Linked DNA regions of Saccharomyces cerevisiae S288C. Changing the gene in region 1 together with any one later gene gives a genetic interaction. Each region holds a gene or a part of one and is shown on either strand. Other genes may lie near its edges. The genes, in order: FMS1, GRE1, FRM2 and YLR046C.

Region 1 (3,777 bases):
TAGAGGAAAATTTATTCAAATACGCTTATTTAATAATCAACACGCTGACCTTTGAGTGGGAATCATTCGAACTAATACAATCGTGGCTTTTGATAACCTTCTATTTCAGAACCTGTTACAGACAGACGGCGTGCTGGAACGCGTTAAGTCAAGCGGTGAACATGTGTAATGGGATGAGTCTATATTTAAACAAATTTCCTGAGATCCATTCCACTTATGATGAATCAAAAGCATGGCATTGTTTCTGGTGTTGTTTTATAATGGATAAGTTGATAAGTTTTCAAATGGGTCGATTCTACCAACTATCATTACCCGCGAGCGAGATGTGCGAACAGATGAATCTAGTGAAGTCAAAGAAATTTTTACAAGAAGAAGATGATTGGTTTCACGAAGAGACTTTTCAAATGCTTGATTTGTCCATAATAGTGACACAGTTTTTAAAAAGAGACGCACAGGATTTAAATTTGAACGAGACCGTGCAATTGCGCAGCCAACTTGGTCAATGGTATGACACCTTTATAGTTGGAAGTCAAACCAATGCGTACGACGACAATTATCGTTACTTCTATCAAGTTCAACCATTCATGACATACCTGGATATAAGGCTGACTTTCGAAGTAAGACAATTATTTTGTCTAATCGCCCCCTCATCTACCGCAAATAATAAATCCCTAGAATATGTCGTCGATACTGAATTGTTAATTTCTCATTGTCAAATGGCTATTGAAAATTTGGCTGAAATTACGAGAAGTAATCTTTTCTTTGTTCCGTGGTGGTTAAACCTTTCTCAACTATTCACGGTAAATTTAATATGTATTATCTACCTGCACGCAGGGATTGCCGTAACTCAAAATAAAGCTATCATGCAAAGCTGCCAAGAAATATGGCGAACCTTAGAGTGCTCTAAGCCAAAAAATCGGCCTTCAATGCTTCCTGAGTGCTTGTGGTGTTTGAAAATGCTGAATCATATGTTCTGCATACGACTGAGAGATTCTGCTTTGCAATTGGAAGCTACTCTCGGAACTGATCATGGTGATGACACCCCTAATAGAAATAAGTTTGAGCAGTTCAAGAAAGTTGGCGATAATGATGCGGATGTTGAAGTTGATGCTGGTGAAAGAGAAGAAAATGCTGATGAAAGACAAGAAAATCCACATAACAATAGCAAAAGAGTACCATTAGCTACTAGGTCTCATAATACCACTAACTTCGACGGTTCAATCGCAATTTCTCCGGAAAGTGCAGTAGCAAATCTAGGTACTGATACTGGATTGCCCTCAGATGTTCTTGATACTGTCAGTAAAATAGGGAACTCTCCTAATGTGTTTGATGATGATTTATTTTCCAATTTATTATGGTTTGACCAAAATTTTGCATAAGGATTCTTTTTCTATTCCATAAAACCATTTTATGGACACGTTTACCTACATATTATTATATTGTATATAAGATGTTGAAAAAATTGAGTCAACCTCACCTTACCACATGTTGGTCCGTTGCTATGACAAACTCTCGTTTTACAAGAAGGAGGCTCAAATTTCGGGTCACCCACCCATATACGGATGTCACGCTATGAGATCTTTTAAACAATAGACAATTTTTGGTATCCTAAAGATATAAAAGAGGAGTTTTTTTAAACCATGGTAACTATTTTCAAATTTGCTCTGCTGCAGTTTTTTATTTCTGTTTTTCTTTTTTTGTTCCCAACAAGAAGTGAGTTAATAAAGGCAAAAACAGTGGTCGTGTGAGAATGAATACAGTTTCACCAGCCAAAAAAAAGGTTATTATAATTGGTGCCGGTATTGCTGGGCTTAAAGCTGCATCTACGCTACACCAAAACGGTATTCAAGATTGTCTTGTTCTTGAGGCCAGAGATCGGGTCGGTGGTAGGTTGCAAACTGTCACAGGCTATCAAGGTCGGAAATATGATATAGGTGCTAGCTGGCACCATGATACGTTGACAAACCCTTTATTTTTGGAAGAGGCTCAACTGAGTTTGAATGATGGGAGAACGAGGTTTGTTTTTGATGACGATAATTTTATTTATATCGACGAAGAACGTGGAAGGGTAGACCATGACAAGGAACTGCTTCTTGAAATTGTGGACAATGAAATGAGCAAATTCGCAGAGTTAGAATTCCATCAACACTTAGGAGTTTCAGATTGCTCCTTTTTTCAATTAGTAATGAAATACTTACTACAAAGACGCCAATTTCTCACAAATGACCAAATAAGATATTTGCCACAACTCTGTCGATATCTGGAATTGTGGCACGGCTTAGATTGGAAGCTTTTGAGTGCCAAGGATACATACTTCGGTCACCAAGGAAGGAACGCCTTTGCTTTGAACTATGATTCTGTGGTTCAAAGAATTGCTCAAAGCTTTCCTCAAAATTGGTTAAAGCTAAGTTGTGAAGTGAAATCAATTACACGAGAACCTTCAAAAAATGTGACAGTGAACTGTGAAGATGGTACTGTGTACAATGCTGATTATGTTATTATTACAGTACCTCAAAGTGTATTGAATTTGTCTGTACAACCTGAAAAAAATTTACGGGGAAGAATAGAATTTCAACCACCCTTGAAACCAGTGATTCAAGATGCTTTTGACAAGATCCATTTTGGAGCGCTAGGTAAAGTAATTTTTGAGTTTGAAGAATGTTGTTGGTCGAACGAAAGTTCAAAAATTGTAACTTTGGCTAACTCTACCAATGAATTTGTCGAAATAGTACGTAATGCGGAAAATTTAGATGAATTAGACTCTATGCTAGAAAGGGAAGATTCTCAAAAGCATACGAGTGTTACTTGTTGGAGCCAGCCTTTATTTTTCGTAAATTTGTCAAAAAGCACAGGAGTAGCAAGCTTTATGATGTTGATGCAGGCACCGCTTACAAATCACATAGAATCCATTAGAGAAGATAAAGAGCGTCTTTTTAGTTTTTTCCAACCTGTGCTGAACAAGATTATGAAGTGTCTAGATTCTGAGGATGTCATCGACGGAATGAGGCCGATAGAAAACATTGCAAACGCTAATAAACCAGTCTTAAGAAACATCATCGTTAGCAACTGGACACGCGATCCTTACTCACGCGGTGCTTATTCGGCCTGTTTTCCAGGAGATGATCCAGTTGATATGGTTGTTGCAATGTCTAATGGTCAAGACTCCCGCATAAGATTTGCAGGCGAACATACTATCATGGACGGCGCCGGCTGTGCCTATGGTGCTTGGGAAAGCGGAAGACGGGAGGCGACTCGAATCTCTGACTTACTGAAATAGAATCTATTTTTTCGAAATTACTTACACTTTTGACGGCTAGAAAAGGATATACATACATATTAAAATTTTTAGTAACACTCTGTGCTTTTTCAAAAATTTGAGGTACACCTAATTCTCCCACTTGTTGCTTATACCAAGTTTGAACAATTTTAATGTTAAGCACAATAGATTGGAATATTATCATATGGTGGTTCAGAGAGTAGTAGGGTGCATTTTCATTCCTGTTGCCTCAATGTGTTTTCTATCTGTATTTACGTGATTTTATGAAGTGGTGGCATCGCTTAGATGTGGTGCATAATTAGAGACTAATTTTTGAAACCACGCATGAATGTCAAGTAATTCTAACTGAGCATCTGTCATCAATGGCACTTGCAACTTCAAAAAATCCCACCAATATTTTGACGGCACCAATTTACCTTTGAATTTTATTTGAGTTTTCCTTGTTAATCTTGCATTCAGAATTCCATAGAAAAAGAATTTTTCAAATGGAATTATATTTG
Region 2 (2,886 bases), on another chromosome or scaffold:
CCTGCTCATCAATCTTCGTCTCAGTGTCAGGAAAAAAATCCCTTTTGAATATATTAAAGTCGGGTTTCCCCTCAAATTGGGTCCCCCCAGCAAACAATTCCTCAATGCAATAATCTGATAGTTGGATCAACCCTTTCAAGTCGTGCCGCCATCTGAATAGGTTGAAGTTACCCAAGCGGATCCAGCTGGGCGCAAAACGGCATACAACAGCGCACGGTTCTTGATTGCGCCTTTGCGCCTTCGTCCCCGGTAACAGAGTTAATTGCATAGCTCTTGTGGATGGAATTCCAATACTGTGCAACGCCTCGCTCATTATGAATTCACGTATGCTTGATCTTAACACAGCTTTCCCATCTGCAAACCGAGAAAATGGCGTCATACCGGCACCTTTCAACTGAAACGTTTGCCATTGTCCGCTACACTTGTCCTTAAGATCAAACAAGTTTACCACACGTCCGTCTCCCAGCTGTGCAGCAAATGAGCCGAATTGAAATCCGGAGTACACTGTACTATAGGGAAAGATACTATCGGAATAATATACTTTCTCACCGGATAGTATTTTCTCCAAGTCCTGATCCTGCACCAAATTAAACTCATCAAGTGCGTTTTGCGAAAGCAGTAATGGCTTGTAATGTGGTTTCTTAGTGGGCAAACAAAATGCAAAATGAGCCCCCTGCGAAACCATCCGAGGCGTATGGAAAAGCTTTAATCTCACGGGATCCGTTGCATTGTACTGCTGCACGACGTTTATTGCCTCTTGTATGGACGACAGGGAAGTATCTGCGGTCAACTTCTTGATGAAGTGGGACGCTGCAGAGTTTTTCAGCGCTTTGATTATTGTCCTTTTTTCCCCCATGATTGTGTTACACGCTCTATCTTCTTTCTCACACCTTCCTTCTTCTACTTCCGGAGTATAGTCTCTAGCTTATCCTTGATGGCTCTTTTTATGCAGGCAGAATAATTACAGTGACGTATTTGTGGCTTCTTTGGCACAACGTTTTGTTCCACGATCACCTCATATCACCGTTAAGTTCTTCATCGTCCAATTCCGGAGTTCCCCGTCAGCCGTGCGACCATGTGGTATTTCACCCGAATAATTAAGGGAAAACAGAAGGAGAATTACGTATCTTAAAGGAGCTAGACTCTTTGCCTCATTGAGGCTTTCTATACATCGGGTCCCCATGTATGGTCCGTTCCATAGTCGAAGCATCCTTAATTTCCTGTGACATTACAGTAGTTTCGCCGTAGAGCCTTTCACGGGAAGAATATGTTCAGTGGTTCCAGGTATGGGTTTGAGGATGTTCTTGTAAGGTGTGTAGATCCCATCTTTTTTAGGGATCACAAAGGGAAAATAACTACACAGCATGTGGTGGTACAGATGAGGTCAATGGCAGTTTTGCCTTAGTTGTAAGTAATTAACCAATCCTTGTCGTGCTTCTCATGAATGTGTATGAATTTATGTTCATCAGAATATCCCTCTTTAACCACAGTTCTTGCGTAAAGCATAGTCTGGCTTCCTTTAGAAAAAGGAAATGTGGTAATTCTAGGACCACGTTTTGGGCTTCGTCATTTCTTTTCACTCCTCCACTTTTATGACATTTGATCGCAAGTTCCTCCATACATCATGCCTAGTAATCAAAACAAATAACGCACAAGGGAGTAAAGGGAAATGGTTAGAAAAGACCGAAATCCTTTTTTTGGTCTCCGTTACGTGCTTGTTAATCAGGCTCCCTTGAAGCAGTCAATATTTCTTGGACTATAAAAGCACATTACTATTTCATCAAAAAAAGGATACATACCTACCCTCAACTCTTAATATCTACTAGCAGCAGAGCCAAACACTACCGCATAAAAGCTAAGTACGAATAACAATTAAGAAATGTCCAATCTATTAAACAAGTTTGCTGATAAGTTGCACGGCAACGATCATGATGAACGTTACGAAGACGACAATGACGACCAGACTAGACAACAGCGTCATGAAAAACATCAACAGAGGGAATTCAGGAATCAAGGATCCAAGGCCGATCCCTACGGCGAAGAAAACCAAGGGAATTTCCCTCAACGCCAGCAGCCACAGTCTAATCTAGGCGGTAACACGCAGTTTGGCGGTAACGACTTCCAGCAACAAACTACTGACTACACTGCCGGCACTGGTGGTGGCACTTATACCCAAACTTACCGCGAAACTAACACTCAAGGTCAGTTGGACGACGATGAAGACGATGACTTCTTGACTTCGGGCCAACAGCAAAAACAAGGTCGTACAAGAGGTGCTCAAAGTAACCGCTACCAATCCTCTAATATCGGCAGCGGTAGACGCGATCTGTCTGGGTCAGGAAACGATGAATATGATGATGATAGTGGGAACCAAGGCGTCTGGTAGATGCGGTGGTCGAAGCTTCTATTACATGCCTGAGGTGCGGGTCTCACCCTTGAGCAGCAAGTGAGAAATTTTACCCTAATTTCGTCTTCTTTTTTCTTTTTTCTTCATCTGGACCTATTATTGGTCATGATGCCACTTTTTACAAACTATTTCATATGTTTAATCTAGTTTATTTAGATCTACAGCTGTCAGTTTATACGTTTTTATTAATGTCAGTTTGATTTGATTAGTAGTGACCTTTTTCGTCGAGGTATGCCGTTTCACGGACCTCCAGATCCAGGTGTATAACAATAGAATTATGGGAAAACGGGGTGGGAAGGTCGTTGTCTAACTCAAACCTCCTGGAATTAGCGGGTAAAGTGTCGTTATTGTGCTGGGCAACAACTTTTTTTTACGATTTCTTTTTACCTCTCATCTAGGTTAGTGTTAGTTGTAAAAACCCGAGCAGATTGGTGCCTTTTCAAGTGCGTTCTTACAACCATACTTTTTTATTCTAGAAC
Region 3 (2,681 bases), on another chromosome or scaffold:
ATTCCAGGTGCGGCCAAACAAATGATCTACAGAATCTTATTCCTATTCTTGGCTACCATTATTCTACTGGGTTTCTTGGTGCCATACAATTCCGATCAATTATTGGGTTCTACCGGTGGTGGTACTAAAGCCTCGCCATATGTCATTGCTGTTGCATCCCACGGTGTCCGTGTCGTCCCACACTTCATTAACGCCGTTATTCTACTTTCCGTGCTGTCCATGGCTAACTCCTCCTTCTACTCCAGTGCTCGTTTATTTTTAACTCTATCCGAGCAAGGTTACGCTCCTAAGGTTTTCTCCTACATCGACAGAGCCGGTAGACCATTGATTGCCATGGGTGTTTCTGCATTGTTTGCCGTTATTGCCTTCTGTGCTGCATCTCCCAAGGAAGAACAAGTTTTCACTTGGTTATTGGCCATTTCTGGTTTGTCTCAGCTTTTCACATGGACTGCCATTTGTTTATCCCATCTTAGATTTAGAAGAGCCATGAAAGTCCAAGGGAGATCTCTTGGAGAATTGGGTTTCAAATCTCAAACTGGTGTTTGGGGATCTGCCTACGCTTGCATTATGATGATTTTAATTCTTATTGCCCAATTTTGGGTCGCTATCGCCCCCATTGGTGAAGGTAAGCTGGATGCACAAGCCTTTTTCGAAAACTACTTGGCTATGCCAATCTTGATTGCACTTTATGTCGGCTACAAGGTCTGGCACAAGGATTGGAAACTGTTCATCAGGGCAGACAAGATCGACCTAGATTCTCATAGACAAATCTTTGATGAAGAATTAATCAAGCAAGAAGACGAAGAATATAGGGAACGTTTGAGGAACGGACCTTATTGGAAAAGGGTCGTTGCCTTCTGGTGTTAAAAAAAAAAGCATTTACTTCTTTTATATTTATTCATTTTTGTACTTCTGTTTTGTAGTAATAGCATACGTGTAATGATAGACGATTTTCATTTTAATTCTAGTCCTTTATGAGCGAAGAAAAAAAATAAAAAGCACTAACGATTGCGTGATGGAAGTGGAGAGGAAAATATAAGTGAAATAATATGAAGTGAGAGAAAAATGATTTCCTTTTGTTCTTAATGCAACAGAAGAGGTTTGATTTCATCCGCATATGCAATTTTGCCTTAGTAGGGGTGCAACCGTTTTCGTCGTGCATCAGGAACGATCTTCTTGCCTTTTTTAAAAATCTACGTTAAGAATTTTTAATTTTGTTAAGGTGTAATTAGCATTAGAATGACTGAAGCATTCAGTTTAACCAACTTGTTCTGCGATATTTTTACTTCTGAAATAACAATGTCTGCGAGTGTTACTTGATTATTAATCAATATTTGTCAATGCTCTTCCGAATAATTTTTCAATTTGTCAGCTTTGCTCTGCGCTTTTCCTTACTGCGACAATAAATGGCAAAGGAAAAAAAAATACAGTGTCATTTGCAGATATGACACACTTTAACACCTGAGTGGGTCATCACTACTTTGTGTTTGTCTCCACCCATGTTGTGATCGAAGAGAGATATAAAGGTTGATCATTTTTGGTTTTTTAAAGCTATATACACCATCAAAATCAAGAACACCAGACCTCCAAGCCAAAGAAATGTCCCCAACTGGAAACTACTTAAACGCTATTACAAACCGTCGTACCATCTACAATTTGAAGCCCGAATTACCACAAGGTGTCGGTTTGGATGATGTAAAGAGAACTGTACACGTTATTCTCAAGAATACGCCAACAGCTTTTAACTCACAAGTGAATCGCGCTGTCATTATCGTTGGTGATACACACAAAAGGATATGGGATGCTGTTGCGAGCGCAATGCCAACTGCTGAAGCCAAGAAGAGACCAGAGTCTTGCAGAGATGAGGCTTACGGTTCAGTCATTTTCTTCACTGATGAAGGACCAACTGAAAAACTGCAAAGAGATTTTCCAGCCTTGGCAGCCGCTTTCCCAACATGCGCCGCTCATACGACCGGTGCTGTGCAAATTCAGTCTTGGACTGCCCTCGAACTATTGGGATTGGGGGCTAATTTGCAACACTATAATGACTACGTCAAATCTGCTTTGCCTCAAGATGTTCCTATTGCGTGGACTGTACAATCTCAATTGGTCTTTGGTGTTCCAACTGCCTTGCCAGAAGAAAAGACTTTTATCAATAACGTAATCAACGTTTATCACTGAACAGGAAATTCGCATATGAGGAGATCTTAATTTATCTCATGAAGTAATGATACCTCAGCGATGTGCTCGCTCGTTAGTATGCTTCATAAATTCATTATTATTTTTTTTTGGAAGTGTTTTTCGACAAAAGTTGCATTTTTACGAAGGATATGTAAACTCAAGAAGTACTAAATAAATATAAATACAATTCGAAAATTTGAAAAAAGTAGGAGACAACACTTTCCTTCCTCACGAAGAAGTTAAGCTTGGGTTTGTGACTTACTAACGTCAACGTACAATCGCGTTACAAACAAGATGCTTGCATTCTTACCTTACATTACAAGGACTTAGACGAAGAAAAAGTTCAGAAACACTGCTTACACTATTCACCAGACCCGCTCCTTCTCCTAACATCAATAACGAACAGCACTATTGATGTAAGAACGTCTTAGCTTAGTAATAAAGCTCTACCTTGTTATCGTACAATAATCCAGTATACCGCTTTTACTAATGATTATTCG
Region 4 (3,039 bases), on another chromosome or scaffold:
AGCCCATCCTACCAGGAGGGCATCTAAGGATCAACATTTACCATAGAAATTTTTTAAGGAGGTTTTTCTCCCATTTGATACCCTTCCAACATCCTTTTACTATTGCTAGTATTCCAAGTGATAATTTGGTCAGGTTAATTATTAGAAACGGGCATTTTCCATTGCGTACAAATGAAAAGTATTACATTACAGGGGCTTTTGAACCTGAGTTGAGTTTCATTTCTAAACCTACTGTTCCTTTTAATATTACCACGAAATCTTCCAAGAATCCATTTCGAAACAATTCTTCTGCACTAATAAATTCGCCTTTAAATTTTCTAATTAAAGCGCAAAGAGTGTTTATGTGTGTTGGAGGTTCAGGAATTTCCTTTGGCTTACCACTACTTCGTATTCTAAACTTCAACGGTGTAAACGTTAGGCTCCTTTGGGTTTCTAGAGATTATAAGGATCTGGAAGTATTGAACCACTTCAAAAACAATTTTGAAGGTATGGAGATATATATTAGTGGCACCGAAGGCAACGAACAGGACATAGAAATTGATTATATTGACTATCATGACTGCGCTGCTGATATTAATGATGAAGTCAGGAGTATTTCTTCGAGCGGCCGAGTTTCAGAACTGGGAGATAATTCCATGTTATCAGATGGAAATCCCCAACCTACGGAGCCCAATGAGAACACAGCCCTTCTAAGTAAGAAATCTACCTTGAGAAACCATCACCCACCAAAAACAAGTGATATACCTGACATCAATGCTGATGACGAGATAGATTTTACATATGCTTTTAGCAGATCCAAATCAAGGAAAAATACTGCACAAGGAACTCTAACTACACATTCTTCGTTTAACGGATCGAGCGTTTTCAGACAACCAAAGATCATTGAGCCACCTGCCCAAGATCCTTGTTTAGAGGCGGCGCCTAAAAAGATCAGAATTCCCGCAGGTGTTAAAGTGTTCTTTGGCAGGCCTACACTTGGAGATAAGGATTATGAATGGTGTCTGCAAACCGAATGTGATGCAGAGACGGATTCTATTCAATGTTGCAGGTGGGCGAATCAAGGCAGAGACCATGCTGAATATTTGTCACAAGTATGGGTTCTCGCTGCAGGCCCTAGAGGCTTAATTGAAAGCACCAAAAGATGGGCGACAGATGGTGGTTTACACTTTCACGGAGAAAGTTTTGCATTATAAGAGTTGCAAGTTGGCTATTAGTTTATGAGGCTTGGAAAATTCACGTATTTGATGGTGGCATATCTATAATGTCCCGTTTTGCTCTTTAATCTTACTGTCAAAAAAGGGCCCTATGTACGATCTTTTCTAACTGATTTTTTCCGAGAAAAGTTCCGCAGGCTGATTTAGTTTTTTTCTGGTGGTTGTCAAGCCTCTCTCCACTTGGTGATAGTTGCGAAAAATGACAGCGGATATTAATGGATATTAGCGGGAATAAGCACATTTCCATATTGATTATTTGTATGTCTAGCAACTTATAAGATGAATTATAAAAGGCATATAAGTTCTTCTTGGTACTGAATACATGACACTCTCACTACTGTACTAGAGACTTATTGTCGATAAAAGAACTCAACTGCCTCAATAGGAATTTTTTTACTAAAGCAATCACTGATTATGAAGGTTTTTATGCATACAATCCTCACAAAGGTGCAGCGATTGCATTTGTCGTTCTGTTTGGCATTTTAATCCTTTCTGCCTTGGTGCAGATCATAATGGCAACACACACGAGCAAGAGACGTATTCATCGCTGGGAAAACAATGAGTTGTCAGAGGAAAATTCCACAATAATATACTTTCCTGCCCGCGGTTTGATGTGGACACATTTTCCTTTCGTTTTAGGGATTTGTTTAGAGTTCGTGGGTTATGTGTTGAAAATAGTCTTTATCAATAGCCCCTCGATTTCGACTTTCATTGCTCAATCGGTGCTTCTATTGATAGCACCTTCACTTTACGCCCTTAGTATTTTTATGTTGTTCAGCAAAATGGCACGTCTAATTCTTATGGAGGCATATATGTTAATTCCTGCGAAATTTAGTACAGTTTCTTTCGTAGTGGCAGATATGATTGGGCGTGTCCTACAGGCTGTAGGAGGTGGGTTGTTATCCTCATGGAACAGCAGGAATACTGGGCGTATCCTAATTATTGTGGGTCTTTTCATTCAGATATTTTGTTATACCTTTTTAACGTTCAGTCAACTTTTTCTTCACTATAAAATGAAGGCAACGCCTAGTAAAATTGTGCGGGATAGTAATGAATGGTTCCAGTACAATTTTATACTTTTAGCTGGGATATTGCTGGTTAATGGTAGAACCATTGTCAGAGTAGTACAATTTCTAATGGGCTTACAAAGCTATATAGGTCAGCACGAATGGTGCCTTTACGTTTTCGATACAGTTCTAATGTTTTTACTACCTTTGATTTTCCTAGCAACCTTTCGCGCAAGAAATTTGTTCAAGCTGCAGGATAAATCTGTCAATATTCAATTAAACAAATTATTAGACAAGGAATCTGTGTCTGAAGATTAAGTAGTCAAAAATTTATTAATTAAATAGTTGGATAATATTTGTGCTGGGCATTAGAAGTCAATCTTGTCTTTTCCTTTATATGGTGCAAAGATTATCATGGTTAACGAATCTATTTTTTTTCGTGTCGTTTTTGTTTTTGTTTTTGTTTTTGTTTTGTCTGCTTGACACTCCATAGGAAGAGTAAATGAAGAACCTACCAGACCTAGGGACCAAATAGCATTACTAAACTACAAAGAAACAGCTATCTTTACAGTGTAAAGTATTTTTGAGTTTTTATTAAAGAGTTTGAAGTTGACTATGTCAGGAGAAGAAGAAGTAGATTATACAACGTTACCCCTAGAAGAGCGATTAACGTACAAGTTATGGAAGGCACGTTTAGAAGCTTATAAGGAGTTAAACCAGCTTTTTAGAAACTCCGTTGGCGACATCAGTAGGGATGACAACATACAAATTTACTGGAGGGATCCTACATTATTTGCACAATATATAACTGATTCTAA

What was found.
Region 2: mutations in FMS1 (region 1) and GRE1 together harm fitness more than expected from each alone (negative genetic interaction), as found in Saccharomyces cerevisiae (one large-scale study listed by BioGRID).
Region 3: mutations in FMS1 (region 1) and FRM2 together harm fitness more than expected from each alone (negative genetic interaction), as found in Saccharomyces cerevisiae (one large-scale study listed by BioGRID).
Region 4: mutations in FMS1 (region 1) and YLR046C together harm fitness more than expected from each alone (negative genetic interaction), as found in Saccharomyces cerevisiae (2 studies listed by BioGRID).

Annotation. Positions count from the first base shown.
Region 1 is NC_001145.3:313,627-317,403, forward strand, and holds FMS1 (polyamine oxidase), read left to right. Parts: upstream 1-1,750; coding exon 1,751-3,277; downstream 3,278-3,777. Other genes in the region: STB4 (Stb4p), read left to right, coding at 1-1,379; MAC1 (Mac1p), read right to left, coding at 3,539-3,777. UniProt on the Saccharomyces cerevisiae protein: Involved in the production of beta-alanine, a precursor of pantothenic acid. Multicopy suppressor of fenpropimorph resistance.
Region 2 is NC_001148.4:128,132-131,017, reverse strand, and holds GRE1 (Gre1p), read left to right. Parts: upstream 1-1,879; coding exon 1,880-2,386; downstream 2,387-2,886. Other genes in the region: FMP40 (Fmp40p), read right to left, coding at 1-856.
Region 3 is NC_001135.5:74,204-76,884, reverse strand, and holds FRM2 (type II nitroreductase), read left to right. Parts: upstream 1-1,599; coding exon 1,600-2,181; downstream 2,182-2,681. Other genes in the region: amino acid transporter AGP1, read left to right, coding at 1-867. UniProt on the Saccharomyces cerevisiae protein: Type II nitroreductase, able to reduce 4-nitroquinoline N-oxide (4-NQO) into 4-aminoquinoline-N-oxide (4-AQO) via 4-hydroxyaminoquinoline (4-HAQO), using NADH as reductant. involved in the oxidative stress response.
Region 4 is NC_001144.5:237,501-240,539, reverse strand, and holds YLR046C (uncharacterized protein), read left to right. Parts: upstream 1-1,726; coding exon 1,727-2,539; downstream 2,540-3,039. Other genes in the region: FRE8 (putative ferric-chelate reductase), read left to right, coding at 1-1,193; STU2 (Stu2p), read left to right, coding at 2,837-3,039.